Notamacropus eugenii: one gene and its partner. The protein of the gene in region 1 interacts with the protein of each later gene in a pairwise test. Links are inferred from orthologs where the notes say so. Each region holds a gene or a part of one and is shown in the gene's direction. Other genes may lie near its edges.

Region 1 (7,173 bases):
TAATAAAAACATGGACATAGATGAGAGCCTGTAACACATGTACTCATTCACATGTCATATGAGTACACAGTGACAAAATATAGCGGTACTATGGATGTTACATAGACATATGGGCCAGGCCAAACATAGGAAGGACATGCAAATATATATGCAAATGCTATGGGTTTTCTGTGTGTCTGGAGGTCCGTTACCCTCTACAGGGGCTATGTATATGTGATTTCCTCAGGAACACACATATCTAAGGATATCCAGAGGATATCCAACCATATGAGATTGCCAGATGTGTTACATAAACATGTGATTTATAAAACATTACAGGAAGGAAATGGTGAAATAGATGTTATATGAACAGAAATGCAATGCCAGTAGAACATAAGACATAAGTGCTCAAGCAATGCTAGGACTTCCTTAGCAAAACACATGCAGTAAAGTGGATTAATACACCATGAAGATCTGTGTTAAGAATAAATAAAATCATGGAATCAGCTACCTGAAGGCAACCCCAAGGGACAAGAATCACAGATTCAGCAAATGAACCAAAACAAAACACCATAGGCACAGCGTACAAACAGAACATGTGAAGACAACTACCTTGGCAGTGACGATCACTGGCAAAGCACATGAACAGAAACACACAACTAATATGCAACAGAAAGATCTGAGAAAGTAGGCAACATTTGAACATACAGATGCGTAGGGTATGTACATTATACTCCAAATGGATATGACACAAGGGACAGGCCATATTGCACTATAGCCAGCCTTCCCAAAGGGGAATGGATACAACATCCAGCTAATGTGAGGACATTTGCCATGACCATGGATCATATGGGAACATATTCAACCAACACAGCCCACTGTCTAAAGCATGCACACTCAATGGAGAAAACAAGGTAACACACAAGACACACGTGTGTCAGGAAGGGCCTAACATGCACACAGGATATGTAGAGACCTTAGGCTCTGTGCATGGAAATAGAGGGGTGTCCTGGTATGATCCTAGCAACCAATATTCTCTTGGAGGAGGAGTCAGGAATGTAGTTTATAATCTACACTCCTTCCAAGAGATACAAGGGGCAGAAAGAGGAACTGGGGGTGGGGTGTAGCGAATTCCTCTCTCCCCTCACCAGTACTCCTCATCCTCACTCACCCCATCACTATCCCCATCACTATCCCCTTAATTAGGCCAGCCCCCCACTCACCAGGCCTCAGCCCCTCCCTCCTCCATCCCTTTTCTCTCTGTCTGGATTCTCTCCATCTTTCCCAGCGGCTCCTCTCCCAAGTCTACCTTACACTCTCTCTCCCCAGACCCCATTCTCCACCTCCATGACCTCCCAGCTCCCTCCTCCCCCGACCCATCTCTCACCCCCCTTCCCCAGTTCCATCCCTCCCCCACCTCAGTGGGGTAGGGGGCCTAGGGGGCCGGCCCCCTCCCCAGCCAGGCTGCGGCAGCGGTGGTGGCGGCTGTGTCTCTGTCTCTGGTGGGGAGTCGGTGCCAGGGGGCCCTCAGGGTTTGGGGGTGTCCTAGCCCCGGCTGGTGGAGGGGCTGTGGGAGTGGGGGGCCGGACCCATAGTGGTGAGAATGGTGGGAGGGGGGGTGTTCCCCGCTCTCTCCCTCCCTCCCTTACTGCTGTCTCTCTCTCGGAGGGCTGGGGCTGCCGAAGCTGCTGCTGCTGCCGCCCCCCCCTCCCCACCAACGCCTGCTTGTTTCCGGGGCCGGCCAGGAAGTGGGGGGTGGTGACAGGCGGGCTGTCTTGCCAATAGCCTGGACAGGGACCCAAGCATTCCCTCCCTCCAGCTTTTAGCCCTCCCTGCCTCATCTTTTTCCTGCTAGCTCCTCCTGCTGAGGCTTCTGCCTTACTCCTTCCAGCTGTCTATCTTTCATAACCTGTTTTTTTTCTGGCTCTGGTTCCAGTCCTTCCCGGCTTTCCCTGCTCTTCTATCTCCCTCCTTCCACTTCTCTCAGCTTTCTTCTCTCTGTCCTTTAGGCTCCCTTTTCTCTTTCCCAATTCTTCCATTCCTCTGCTTCTCACTACTCATCATCCTTTTTTATTAGCTGCCTCGCCCTTTCAACTTCATCTTGGCCTCTCCCATCCTTATCTCTCTTTGTGCCTCCTAATCTTTTCCCTGTCTCGTGGCTGACCTCTTCCCTACTCCCCATTATCTCACTATGGTCTCTCAGAACACTAGCCAGGTCCTCCCCTTCCTTCATCTTGCCCTCTTCTCTGATCCTTCTACCTTCCTTGCCGACCTCCTCCTTTTCTTAATTCCCCAATTCTCTTCTCTCTTCCCTTCCTAGCACCTTTCCCACAGGGTCTCTCTTCTTTAGCCAGGCTGCCCTGTCATCCCAAAGATGAATTGTATATGCTTTCTCCACCACTGAGATCAGGTCACCATTATTCCTTCCTTCTATGGGCAGACCATGCAGCTTGGGGTGGAATGGGGAGCCGACACTAACTCCTTAAGGTTGTCATTCCCAGTTTCTAACACTTGTTTTCTGGAAGCTCAACTACATCCCTAGCCCTGGCTTCCCACACTTATTTCATCCCACTTGGCACTCCTCTACTGCCTCAGCCTCATCCCTTTCACTCAACTCTCCTTTCTATCTCTTTCAAAAAACACTGCCACCACCTTCCCTTCTTTTCCTTGATGTGTCTCCTGGCCCTGTTTTCTCCCTCTCTGATAAGAGCCCTACCTTCAACTAACCAGCTCCATCAACTTGGGGATAGCCCTTTCCTGCTTTCTTTTTACTTTCCAGTTCCCTCCAGATGTTGTGGTTCTCCTGGATTCTTGCCCCCAGCTGTCTTGGTTTCCCTCTGAGGGCCCCTGTCTGGTCTGTGTCCTCTCTCCCATAGAACCATAGAACATAGAATGTCGGAGCTGGAGGCAGCCTTGGAGACCACCTACCCTCATTTTACAAAGACCCAAGGAAACTGATGCCTAGGGAGACAACAGCTGGGTGGAGATCACAAGCTTCTCTACTGCCTCTCCCTCTCCATCCCTCCAACACCCCCCCCCAACACACACACACACAATTAACCTAAGTCTCTCACTGGCTACGCCTTCAAGCCAGGGTTGGAGGAGAGAGACTGGAGATGGGATGGGTGAGAGCAGGGGGAGAAAGGGTGGGCTATTACCAGGTTGCTGTGCTTGGGCCACAAGGAGGAGGGAGACTCACTTGCCCAAGCCTGGCTGCCTGCACCAGGCACCTGGGCCACGCTGAGCCGGAGCAGGTAGGGGAAGGGCACCCTGCCCAGGAAGAAGACCCCAGTTCTGCTTGGTAGGTCACAGGGAGGAAGGGGCGGGTCTAATTCTAGCCCTGCAGATCATGGCAGAAACAGTAAGAGTATCGCAACTAGACAGGACCTTGGAGATCATCCAAAGCATGATGGAGACAAGACCGTCCAGCCCCTCTTTCCACAGCTGACGACGACATTGGATCTGGGGGAAGTCCAGTGACTCCTGGGCTCACCCAAACAGTCAGAGCCTGGGCTAGGGTTTGAACCCAGGTTCTCTCACTCCAAATTCGGCTCTCTTTTTCCACGGCAGCACACAAGTTGAACTGGAGCGAAATTCATTTCTGCTCTGTGCGTCATCGAAGAAAGGAACCTGGAGAGTCGAGTTCCGCTCCGTGGGTCGGCTAAGACTAAAGGGGACCGAGTGCGTGTGCGCTCGTGGGATGGGGGTGGGGAGGGAAGGGGGTTATAAGCCAGGAGATGGATCTGTGACGTCACGGACATGGGGCCAATCGCCCTTCTCCTGGCCCGACATCTTTGTAAAGGGCGCCGGGCGAACTCAGATTCGGTTTCTTACGTCACCGAAACGGCGGAAGCCATTTTGAACCCGGTGACTAGCATATGTCTCTTTGCTCCCAATCCTAATCTTCGAGGTCTAGAGTAACCAATCAAATTCGAGGGTTGGGTGCAAGGGACGAGGGGGGAAGGAACTTAAGGCTAGGGTGGTGGCCAAGTCAGGACCAATTGCGATCCGGGAGCTATAGCGACAAGAAGACGGCGAGGAAGGGGCGGGTCCCGAGAAGCAAAGCCTCCTCCGGATAGGTCCGTCCTATCCCTCACGTGCGCGCTTGCGACCATCTCCTAGCCAACCGGCTGCTTCGGAACTTGCGCGTTCCTAGTCCAATAGGATCTCGAGGAGGATCCTTTTCAAGAGAAGAGGAAGTGAAGAAAGGACGGGGGCGGAAGTTGGATAGGTTATTAGTAGGTAGAATCTACGTCCTGGAGCCAGTTCAGCACGACACTTAGCAATGGGGGACAAATAATGGTGATGACAGGGTGGACCCTCCTTCACCGCGGACAATGGGGTCTGCCAGGGCGCGTTTTACGGCTAATCCTATGACGCAGCCTCTTGACTGGCGACTACCTTGGCCAATAATCACTGTTCAAGGGCGGGGCAATACGTGCCTCTCCCTCCCCAGACTGTCGTCCAATCCTTTCCTTCCGAACCCTAGGTGACTGGTGGGCAGGATCACCAATGGAGTCTCGAAGACCTTGACGGATGACCAATGGGCGCGAGCAGGGGGGCGGGCTTTTCGGACCATCGGGGCTTGTGTATGTGTTTCGTGGGGGAAGACCTGGGTTGCGGGGGCAACAGTTGAGGGGCCATGGCAGCGGCCAGGAAGGAGGACGGGGGCTCCGAAGGGCCAAACCGCGACCGGGGAGGGGCAGGTGCGGCCTTCGAGTGTAACATCTGTCTGGAGACAGCGCGGGAGGCGGTGGTCAGTATGTGCGGCCACCTGTACTGGTGAGAGCCCCGGGACACACCCCCACACCCCACACCCCCACTCCCACCGTAGTGGTGAGAACCCCGGGACATGTACTCATACCTCCACCAGAGCCCCGGGACACGCACCCTCACACACAGACACACACACTCAGGTACACACTCTCTACCCCTGTACTAGTGAGGGCCCCGGAACACTCCTCTCTCCCATACCCTCCCACACACTCACCTCTTTACTGGAGAGAACTCTGGGACACGTGCATAGCTCTCAGCCTCTCTTGGACCCCAGAAACTACCCCCACCCCATTCCCAATATACACCCATTCTGGGATACATATGCCCACACACATACACACACACACTACATATATAAATACATACACACACATATTCCTAATGGAGAGAGCCTTAGGAGACAGGCATATATACTCCTCTAATATGTACTGGCCACACTGTCATTAGTCTTATGTTGACACGGGATTGCAGCACATCCACAACACACATTCTTCCTGGTACTGATGTGAGAGCTCCAGGAGACAGACACATATGTTTTAGTACTGTATTAGTACTGATGAGAACCTCAGGATATTCCCACCCAGAGTCCTACCTGTACTGTCAACAGCCCCAGGATACCCACCTACAAATCTTATATCTTCACTGGTGAGAATATCATGAAAACACACACACACTTTTATACTGGTGTGTGATATATGTATGTATGTGTGTATCTCTCTTGCTCTCTCTATATACATATATATATATGAAATACATATTCTAAGAGATATATCCTACTCCTAGCTGCATCCCTGTCTAAATAATGCTGACAGCATCAGGAAATGCATACACACCCACAGACATTTCCCAGTGCCCTGGGACATTCACACATACATATGTTTTACTGACAACTTTATATGTATACATATATATGTATATATGTGTGTGTATACACACACACATACGCACATACTAGTAGAGCTGTTGACAGCTTGGGATCACATATCTTTGCTTTGATAGCTGAGAATACAGACATATACACACCTGTACTCCAGTGGAGGGGAATGGGGAAAAAAATGACACACCTGGGATGCACAACTAATCTATATTAATAAGGAGGGATAACAACTGAATAAATAATTATTAAATATCCACAATGTTCAGAGTAACATGTTAGTAGGTAGGTGTTGGGGGAGATACAAAGTTTAGAAAAGACATGGTTCCTGATTTCATGGAGCTTCCAGGGGGATATGACATGCATGCGGATATTATATGAAATAATATACAAATTATATATGAAGAGTGCATGAGAAGTTCAAAACAAAGTGCTATGTGAATGTGTTATTGCTGGAGGGTGACAGTAAGTGAAGGCGGGTGTTGGGTTTTAAAAATAAGTAGTCATTCCAGTAGTTGAACTTAGAGGCCTATGGGATAGGGTGAGCAAATATGTAGAGCTGTGATAGCTAGCAGTCTAGTTTTGCTGGAGACTAGAGTACACAGAAGGTAATGCAGTGAGATTAGATTGGAAAGATAGGTTGTTTCCAAACTGTAGAAATCCTTGAATTCCAGGCAGAGGTTTTAGGGAGCCACTAAAAATTTTTGAGCAGAGTAGTGACCAGTAGAAGACTGGTCTGTAGTAGTAGGAGGATAGATGGCTGGAAGTGGGAGAACAATCTGTATTGAGGGAAGTAATGGCAATAAAGAGGAGGGCATTGTTGAAAGAAAAGGTATAGATGTAAAAGTCAGTAGCACTTGTTTACTGATTGGATATGACAGGTGATAAAAAGGAATTCTAATTTTGAATACGGGAGACTGTATGAATGACATTGACAGATTTAGTGAAATCTACAGGTTTGGGGGGGAAGATAGGATCATGGGATTTACAGCTGAAAGGACCTTAGAAATCATTTAGTTCAAGTCTCGTTTTACTGATAAGGAAACAGATACAGTTAAGTCAAATGTCTTGCGCAGAGTTTCACAGAAAACAGGCCAGCACAGATTCAAACCTGATTCCTTTGACTTTAAATCTGTTTCTGCTACATAAATGAACTTAGATTTAACTAAAAATCATTGAATTGGAAATTTTGGTCTGATAGGCAGATGCAGAGCTATTTGTGTAGTTGTAGATATAGTTAAGGAAGAGATACCAGGGCTGGAGATATGGATTTGGGGATCGGTCTTGTAGAGGTGATAGCTTAAGCCATGAGTGATTAAAATTGCCAAAGGTGAGAGAAGAGGGCCAAGAACAGAATTTACCTTGAAGGGTTGGGAAGAGGAGCCAGCAAAGAAGACAAAGAAGGCATTATTAGAGGTAGGAGGAAAATCAGGGGTGTGTGGTGTCTCTGAAGTCAAGGGAGGAGATAGGTACCCTGGGCTTACTTAGTGTAACTGAGCTATTGCATTTTTTAATGTCACTTTGAGAGATCAGTTTGATGTGAA
Region 2 (7,608 bases), on another chromosome or scaffold:
TAGTGTTGCCCATTAGAATACAAGCTCCCAGAGAACAGGGGCTATCTTGGCATTTACATTCCCAGTGCTGAACACAATACTTGACACCTAATAAGTGCATAATAAATGCTTTTCAAGGGAAGCAGAAAAGTGGGAAAGAATTTTTGCAACTAGTATCTGTGACAAAGGCCTTATTTCTAAAATATATAGAAAACTGAGTCAAATGTACAAGAATACAAGTCATTCCCCAACTGATAAATGGTCAAAGGACATGAACAGGGAGTTTTCAGAGGAAGAAATTAAAGTTATCGATAATCATATGAAAAAACGCTCTAAATCATTAGTGACTAGAGAGATGCAAATCAAAACAACTCTGAGGTACATCACACCTGTCAGATTGGCAGACATGACAAAACAGCAAGATGATAAATGCTGGAGAAGATGTGGGAGAGTTGGAACACTAATTCGTTGTTGGTAGAGCTGTGAGCTGATCCAGCCATTCTGGAGAACAATTTGGAACTATGCCCAAAGGGCTACAAAAATGTGCATACCCTTTGACACAGCAAGCAATATTGCTTCTGGGACTCTCTCCCAAAGATATCATAGATATGGGAAAGGGTCCCACATATTCAAAAATATTTATAGCAGCTCTTTTTCTAGCCAAAAACTGGAAATCAAGGGGAGGCCCATCAACTGGGGAATGACTAAAAAAGTTGTGGTATATGAATGTAAGGGAATACTATAGTGCTATAAGAAATGATGAACAGGAAGACTTCAGAGAGGCCTGGAAAGACTTACATGAACTGATGCTGAGTGAAAGGAGCAGAACCAGGAGAACTTTGTACACAGCAACAACCACAGTGTATGAGGAACTTTTGTGGTAGACTTCGAACTTCATTGCAATGCAAGGACTTAAAAAATTTCCAATGGACTCGAGGCAAAACACCTTCCAAATCCAGAGAAAGAACTATGAAATTGGATCACAGATAGAAACAGACCATTTACTTTTGTATTATGTTTTTGTTTCATTTTATTTTATGGTTTTTCCCATTCATTTTAATTCTTCTATGCAACATGTATTGAATAGAAAAGTATGTGTAGGACTTACAAATAAGACTGTATGCCACCTCAGGTAGAGAGTGGGAAGGGAGGGAGGAAAAATGCAAGATATATGGAAGTGACTGTCGAATGCTGAAAACCAATAAAATAATTTAATTAAAAAAAAAAGATTGTACGCCCATCTCAGGGAGGGAGTGGAGAGGGAAGGGGGAAAAGGGAGAGAAAAAAATCTAAGACACATGGAAGTGAATGTTGAACACTGAAAACAAAATAATTTAATTTAAAAAAATACTTTTCATCCATTCAAGGAAGATGACATAGAGACAACTCTGACAAAGGTATAGTACAAAGGTACAGTCAGACAGGCTGATTGCTTTTCCAACTGCCCCCTAGATAAATACTAAGTAATATTACTAAAGCACAGCTTTGACTACATCATTCTCCTGCTCAAAAAGTTCCAGTGCCTCCCTGCTGCTTCGAGGACAGGTTCTTCAGAGCCCTTCACTGACTCGTTTCAAATGACCTTTCCAGGCTGATTTTACATTATAGTCAAACTGGCCTAGTTTCTGTTCTTTACACAAAATTCTATTCCTATCTCCCATCTTTGCTTAGACTATTCCCCCCATATCCGGAACCCTAGCTCCCTTCAAATGCCCCTTGCTATCTAAAGCCTTCCTTCTAGAACCACTTTATGTTTACTTTGTATAAATAGTTCTCACTTCACCTAAATTCCCATTCGACTCCCAGGGCAGACCCCACTCTAAGCCAGCTCAACTTCCCAGCAGGTGGTAGCAGTAGCAATGGCTCCATAAAGACACACCATTAAGAAGTAATTAGCTTCCATGGTAAAGTAACCCTAGGTACAACTGATTTTCCCTGAATCTCTACTACCCTCTGCTGGGATTTCTAGTTAAAACAGAAGGAAAATAGTGATGGTACTTAAAAGTAGAGGCATATAATGACTCCTGGGAAAGGTCAAGAAAATGCATAAACAGTCAGAATAAATGTTAGCACTATCTGTCTTTGAAAGAGATTATCTCAAAAGATAATGGTGTACTCAGGGGGTTAAGTTCTTGCTTCTAGTGTTGTGCAGAGAGCTGAAATCTGGAAGAGTACTCAGAGATCATGTAGTATATAACCCCTTCACTGTTGAAACCCTGGGAAACCAGATAGTTTGCCTAAGATCATACCTGAGGAATTAAAAAGTCTTTTTCTTGGGATGCTTATCTCTGCTTTCTAGATTCCTTCAAGGCTCAGTTCAAATCTTACCTTCTGCAGGAGACCCTTCTCGGTCTGCCTCCACCCGGTGCTTAACCACCACTTCCATTTGTCATTATTTCCATTAACCGTTAGTTAAGAAATCACTTCCTTTACATTGCATACATTTTGTTTTTACATAGTCATTTGCAAGTTATCTCCCCGCAGTAGACCATAAGCTCCTTGAAAACAGAACCTGTCTTCTGCCATTCATGGTATTCCCAGCATCTGGGCACAGTCCCGCTTATCAAATAGTAAAGATAAATGCTTCTTGACTGGCTGACTGAACACCAGCTCAACATAACTTGTGAGGAGTTGGTCAACAGGTATGTGTTAAGCACTTATTATGTGCTAGGACAGCGGTGGGTAACCTGTGCCCTTCCAAGTGGCATGTGGCCCTCTAGGTCCTCAAATGCAGCCCTTTAATAAAAGGAACTGTTCTGTGAAATTTGGATTCAAAGGGCTGCAGTTGAGGACCTAGAGGCCGCAGGTTCCCCACCCCTGTGCTAAGGCTGGAAATACAAAGAAAGGCAAGAAACAGCCTTTATTGTCAAGGAACTCAGTCTAATGGAGGAGACAACGGGGAACCTGAAGGAAGTCAGAGAAACCAGGAGATGTAGAGAGTGAGGAGAGCTCCAAGCACCGGTATAAGAAGAGGTAGGACGGGGCCAAATTATGAAAGACTTTAGAAGCCAAACAATGAATTATAATATTGTTCCTTGAAGCGAAGACTCCAAAGGAGTTTACTGCAAGGGAGGAGCGTGTGTGAGAGTAAGTGAGAGACACAGTGTCAGATCTGTACTTACAGATCCAAGTGACAGCTGAGTAGAGAACTGACTGAAGTCGGGATACACTTGGGGCAGCAGTCAGGTCCTGAGGTGATAATCTGTTCTACCTGGTGGCAGTGGCCTCAGGGAAGAGGAGACATATAAAGGTTAAGAAGGCAAGAGGTCTGAGCAAATGACTGGCTTGGGGGGGGAGGGGAGGACAAGTCTGAGCGACTGGGAGGGTGCTGGTAGCCTTGATGACAATGAAGACCCTGAAGAGGGTCGGAGGCAGTGGCGGGGAGGAGGAAGATACAGAGCTCTGCGTCTGACCATCTTCCTGCGGCAGCTGGTTTCCTCCAAACTGACTGGTAAGAAAGGGGCCAGAGAACCTGGATTGTCCCTAAGGACAACCAAAGCAACTCCACTTACCTGGTGCACCAAACTGTACCAACTCGTTTAAGGGAAAAAAAGATGGGAAAGAGAGAAGAGAGGAAAAACCAGTTTATTTCACCGAAGCTCCCTCCCTCGGCCACTCGGCGCTCAGCCCCGCGCGCGGCACGCCCTCGGGGCCGGCCTCGCTCAGCAGCAGCCGCTCCTTCTTCTCCTTCTGCAGGACCTGCTCCTCCCACAGGGCCTGGTCCACCTGGTCCTCCGTGAGCACGGCCGGCAGGTACTTCTGGCTGAAGAGCCACTCGTTGACCTCGGAGCGCAGCTGGTCCTCGGACAGCGTGCGCAGGTGCGGCGGCAGGTGGCGGAACTCGTCGTCGTTGACGTCGCAGTCGCGCATCTTGGCGCTCAGCACCCACCAGCGGCCCAGGAAGCCCACGTCCAGCACGCGGCCCGGGAAGTCGGCCCAGCGGGGCTGCAGGTGCGGGCAGCGCGCCTGGTACAGGCTGGCCTCGGGGTCGTAGGGCGCCTCGTAGAGCAGCGAGCACAGGCCCAGGTGGACGTGGCGCAGCCGGCCCCGGCCCCGCAGCCACAGCAGCCGCTGCACGTGCGCCTCCGAGCCGGGGTTGCGGGTGGCGGGCGCCAGAAGCAGCAGGGTCCCGGACGCGTCCAGCAGCGCCTCCTCGAAGGACGCCTCCTCCGGGGTGCGAAGGGCGCAGGCGGCCGCCCCGCCCAGCAGCCCCGCGTACAGCGCCGCCCGCACGGGCCGCTCCCGCGCCGCCGCCGCCGCGTCCGCGCACGCCTCGGCGTAGTCGTGCAGGAGCCCGCGAACCCACGAGCCTGCGGGCGAGAGGCGGCGTGAGCGCCCGGGACGTCGGCCCCCCGGCCCCGGCCTCCCCCCGGTCCCGGCCCTACTCACCCAGCCGCTCCCACACGCGCCGCTTGGCTACGCCCCCGCCGGGGCCCGCTCCCGCTCCGGCGGCGGCGCCGCTAGAGTACACTCTCCTCCACAGTACGGCGGCCACCATCGTCTTCCTGCTCCGTACTTCCCCACGGTCCGGAAGGAAACATTCCCCTCGCCGCGACACTGCAGCGTCACCGGGTTCGAGCCAAGGCGCTACCGGAAACGATTCCCCACCGGAGGGGAATAAGGGAAGCGCTCACGTGTAGAAGGGGGCGGCGGGGGAAGGTGACAAGAGTGTTAGCATCCCGGCACCCGGCTGTACCATCTGGACGTCCACAAGCAGCGCCACCACGCGGAGGAGGACAGGCAGGGCAAGCGGTAAGCCTTGTCTCCCCTGCCTCGGACTAAGTGGGCTCGACCCGGATCCAGCTGGCGCAGGCGTAGAGGAGGCGTTCCACGCAGCTGGCCGACAGCTGGAGGGGTGGGTTGAGTAAGCCGGGCTCCCGAGGCTTTAGATCCGGGGGAGGGGCTTTGCTGCCTGACCCCCCGACCTGTCTCCGCAGGGGCGCAAGGCTGGAGATGTGGTGAGAGCGCCGGCCATGGCTGCGCCCCAAGAGCTCACCTTCCACGGTGAGTGAACAGCTCCCAACCCCTCCTCCCCCGACCATCCAAACGCCGGACCCGTCTTCTCTCCCTGACCCTCCCCAGGCATTCCAGACCCCTATTCTCTTCCCTCAGAGATCCCCGTCTTTCCTGCCCCCGCAAGGGACCTTTTGTCCTTGACCTTCCCTTCCCCAGCCCCGTCTTGGAACCCAGACCTGAGGTTATTCCTAGTGATAGTAGTTAACATTTCTATAGCACCTTCTACGTCCAGGCACCGTACCAAGTATTTTAATTAAAAATATTTCATTTGGTTCTCTGAACCTTGGAAGGTAGGTGCTGAGGCAAACAGGTTAAGTGACTTGCCCAGGGTGACAGCTAGTAAGTGTTAGGGGCAAAATATGAAATCAGGTCTTCCTGACTCCGGTCTTAGCGATTTGTCCACTTTGCTACCTAGCTGATGCTCTTGTCCTGCATGGACCTTCCCCATCCTACCCCCGCCCAGCACTGTCAGGCAGGCTTCCTCTTCATCCCCAACTCCATATCTGAACTGGAAGGACAGATTAATGGCTGGCTGGCATGGTGAATGGAGGTCTAGAATTTGGGCACCTGAAGGGTGGTCTACCAATGGCCAGCTCTTAGTTTGGGGGGAGGGGTCGCCTGGATGGGACTGGTCACATCTACAGAATTTGAGATGGCTGCTGACTTGCTGGCTGAGACACCAGGGGCTACTACCGTCTCCAGTCTTGGGGAACTGCAGAGCCATGTGAGCCTGGCTGTGGACATGGAGGACCAAGAAGATGGAGAATTGGAAGAGAATGATCAGACTCAGGTGAGTTTAGGCCTTCCTGGAAATTCTATGTTACCCAGCTGGGAGCCTTCAGAGGACACACCTTTGACCATTTCTCTTATAGTTGCTTGGGGGTGAGAAACAACCTCCAAACTTCTGGACCTTCAGCTACCACCAGTCTTTCTTTGATGTGGATACCCATCAGGTGAAGGCCTGAGGCTAGTTCACACTTAAGGTGGGAAAGTGAAGGCCCCTCCTTACTGGCTTCTGGAGAACATAAAGGCTTATTTGTTTTGATCAAGCCCGCTGGTATTTGTGCACTTACCCCCAACAGGCTTGTACTGAAGGTGCCACCTTCTTTTCCCTGCTCCTTTTCCTGATCCACATAGCTGAAAATGATCCTTCCCAACATCCCCCCCACACGCACACATTCTCTTTCTGGATGCACCTTTTGTCCTTATCATGATAGGCTATGGCTTCATACTGTGCTTATTTGTATACATAGATCCCCTCTGATGAAATTCCTCAAAGGCAGGGACTTCTATTCATCCTTGTACTAGCAATGACCTCCCTACATGTTAATAGGCACTTAAGTGTTCTGATTTTGGTGGGTGGGTGGGTGGGTGCTTTTTTTCCATCCTAGGTGCTGGAGAGGATCAGAAGTTCAGTGCTGCCAATTCCTAGCCAGAACTTTGTGAGACACCGTCTTCGACATCATCCAGACCTATATGGTAAAGCTGTTTTAATTCCACTAACTAAAGGATTTGAAATTAGAGGCAGGGTACAGATCTATTTCTGTCTGGGCTGGGGAGGTGCAGTTCTCAGGGATCTAATGTACATTCTGCACTTTATTTCCACTCCTTCCCTAGGGCCTTTCTGGATATGTGCCACACTGGCCTTTACACTAGCTGTGAGCAGCAACCTGGCCACCCTGCTGCAGAACTGGAGAGACTCTTCCTTTTCTTATAGCCCACAGTTTCATAAAGGTGAGCAAGCCTGCTCAAGGATGCAGCAGACCTGCCTGTTCTGGGGCCTGTTCTGGGGCCTGTTCTGGGGCCCTTGCAGGGCACTAGAGGGCTACTTGGCCTTTAGCAGGTACGGTTTGGGTTTTCTCTCCCAGTTACTGTTGCAGGGATCACCATTTACTGCTACGCATGGCTGGTACCAACGGCACTATGGGGCTTTCTGCAGTGGCGCAAGGGGGTCAGGGAACACATGAGCTGCTACACCTTTCTGGAGATTGTGTGTGTCTACGGATATTCCCTCTTCATCTACATCCCGACTGTGGTGAGGGTGGCTTGGGGGCTGGGCTGGGGGTATTAGATACTGACAGAAGTCTATAGCCTCTCTCTCTCCCTCTCAGGTCTTATGGCTGATCCCTATCTCGGGGCTTCAGTGGTTTCTTGGGGTCACGGCTGTGTCACTTTCAGGGGCTATGCTCCTGCTCACCTTCTGGCCTCTCGTCCGTTCAGACACCAAGGTGGTATCAGCTGTGCTGCTTACAGTCATGGTTGCCCTCCACGGCCTCCTGGCCATCGGCTGCAAGGTAGCACCAGCTGTCTAGGGTATAGAGGAACTGGCAGGCTGGAATGGCCTGTAGCCTCAGCACTGACTCAAGACTTCTTGCTTTAGTTATATTTTTTCCAGTTCCTGCCTTCAAGGTCCGTTCCTGTGACCCAAGCCCCACTCCACCAGGTCACACCACCTGGCTCCTCCAAGACTTCTGCAGCCTCCTAGGAGAAGAGGTAAGCAGAATAATCATCATCTAAGGAGAGATGTGGTCACAAAGCAAACCCCCCCCAGGGGAGGGACAGAAGTTTCACAGGTGACTCCTTGAGAGACTAGCTTCACACCCCTTTTAATAG

Evidence for each region.
Region 2: the proteins of RNF5 (region 1) and YIPF2 interact in binary tests that used the Homo sapiens proteins (3 or more experiments, as listed by UniProt). The two-hybrid records come from large-scale screens. The link is inferred for Notamacropus eugenii from reciprocal best matches to the Homo sapiens genes RNF5 and YIPF2.

Annotation. Positions count from the first base shown.
Region 1 is NC_092873.1:85,920,900-85,928,072, forward strand, and holds the start of RNF5 (E3 ubiquitin-protein ligase RNF5), read left to right. Parts: upstream 1-4,164; 5' UTR 4,165-4,221; intron 4,222-4,268; exon of another isoform or gene 4,269-4,468; 5' UTR 4,469-4,515; coding exon of another isoform or gene 4,516-4,568; 5' UTR 4,569-4,621; coding exon 4,622-4,761; intron 4,762-7,173. Other genes in the region: AGPAT1 (1-acyl-sn-glycerol-3-phosphate acyltransferase alpha), read right to left, coding at 3,367-3,436. UniProt on the Homo sapiens protein: Membrane-bound E3 ubiquitin-protein ligase that mediates ubiquitination of target proteins. May function together with E2 ubiquitin-conjugating enzymes UBE2D1/UBCH5A and UBE2D2/UBC4.
Region 2 is NC_092875.1:79,086,474-79,094,081, forward strand, and holds the start of YIPF2 (protein YIPF2), read left to right. Parts: upstream 1-4,601; 5' UTR 4,602-4,731; intron 4,732-4,748; exon of another isoform or gene 4,749-4,834; intron 4,835-4,916; 5' UTR 4,917-4,952; coding exon 4,953-4,983; intron 4,984-5,639; coding exon 5,640-5,785; intron 5,786-5,867; coding exon 5,868-5,948; intron 5,949-6,386; coding exon 6,387-6,474; intron 6,475-6,612; coding exon 6,613-6,729; intron 6,730-6,863; coding exon 6,864-7,030; intron 7,031-7,106; coding exon 7,107-7,289; intron 7,290-7,375; coding exon 7,376-7,480; 3' UTR 7,481-7,488; intron 7,489-7,608. Other genes in the region: TIMM29 (mitochondrial import inner membrane translocase subunit Tim29), read right to left, coding at 3,565-4,289, 4,369-4,477.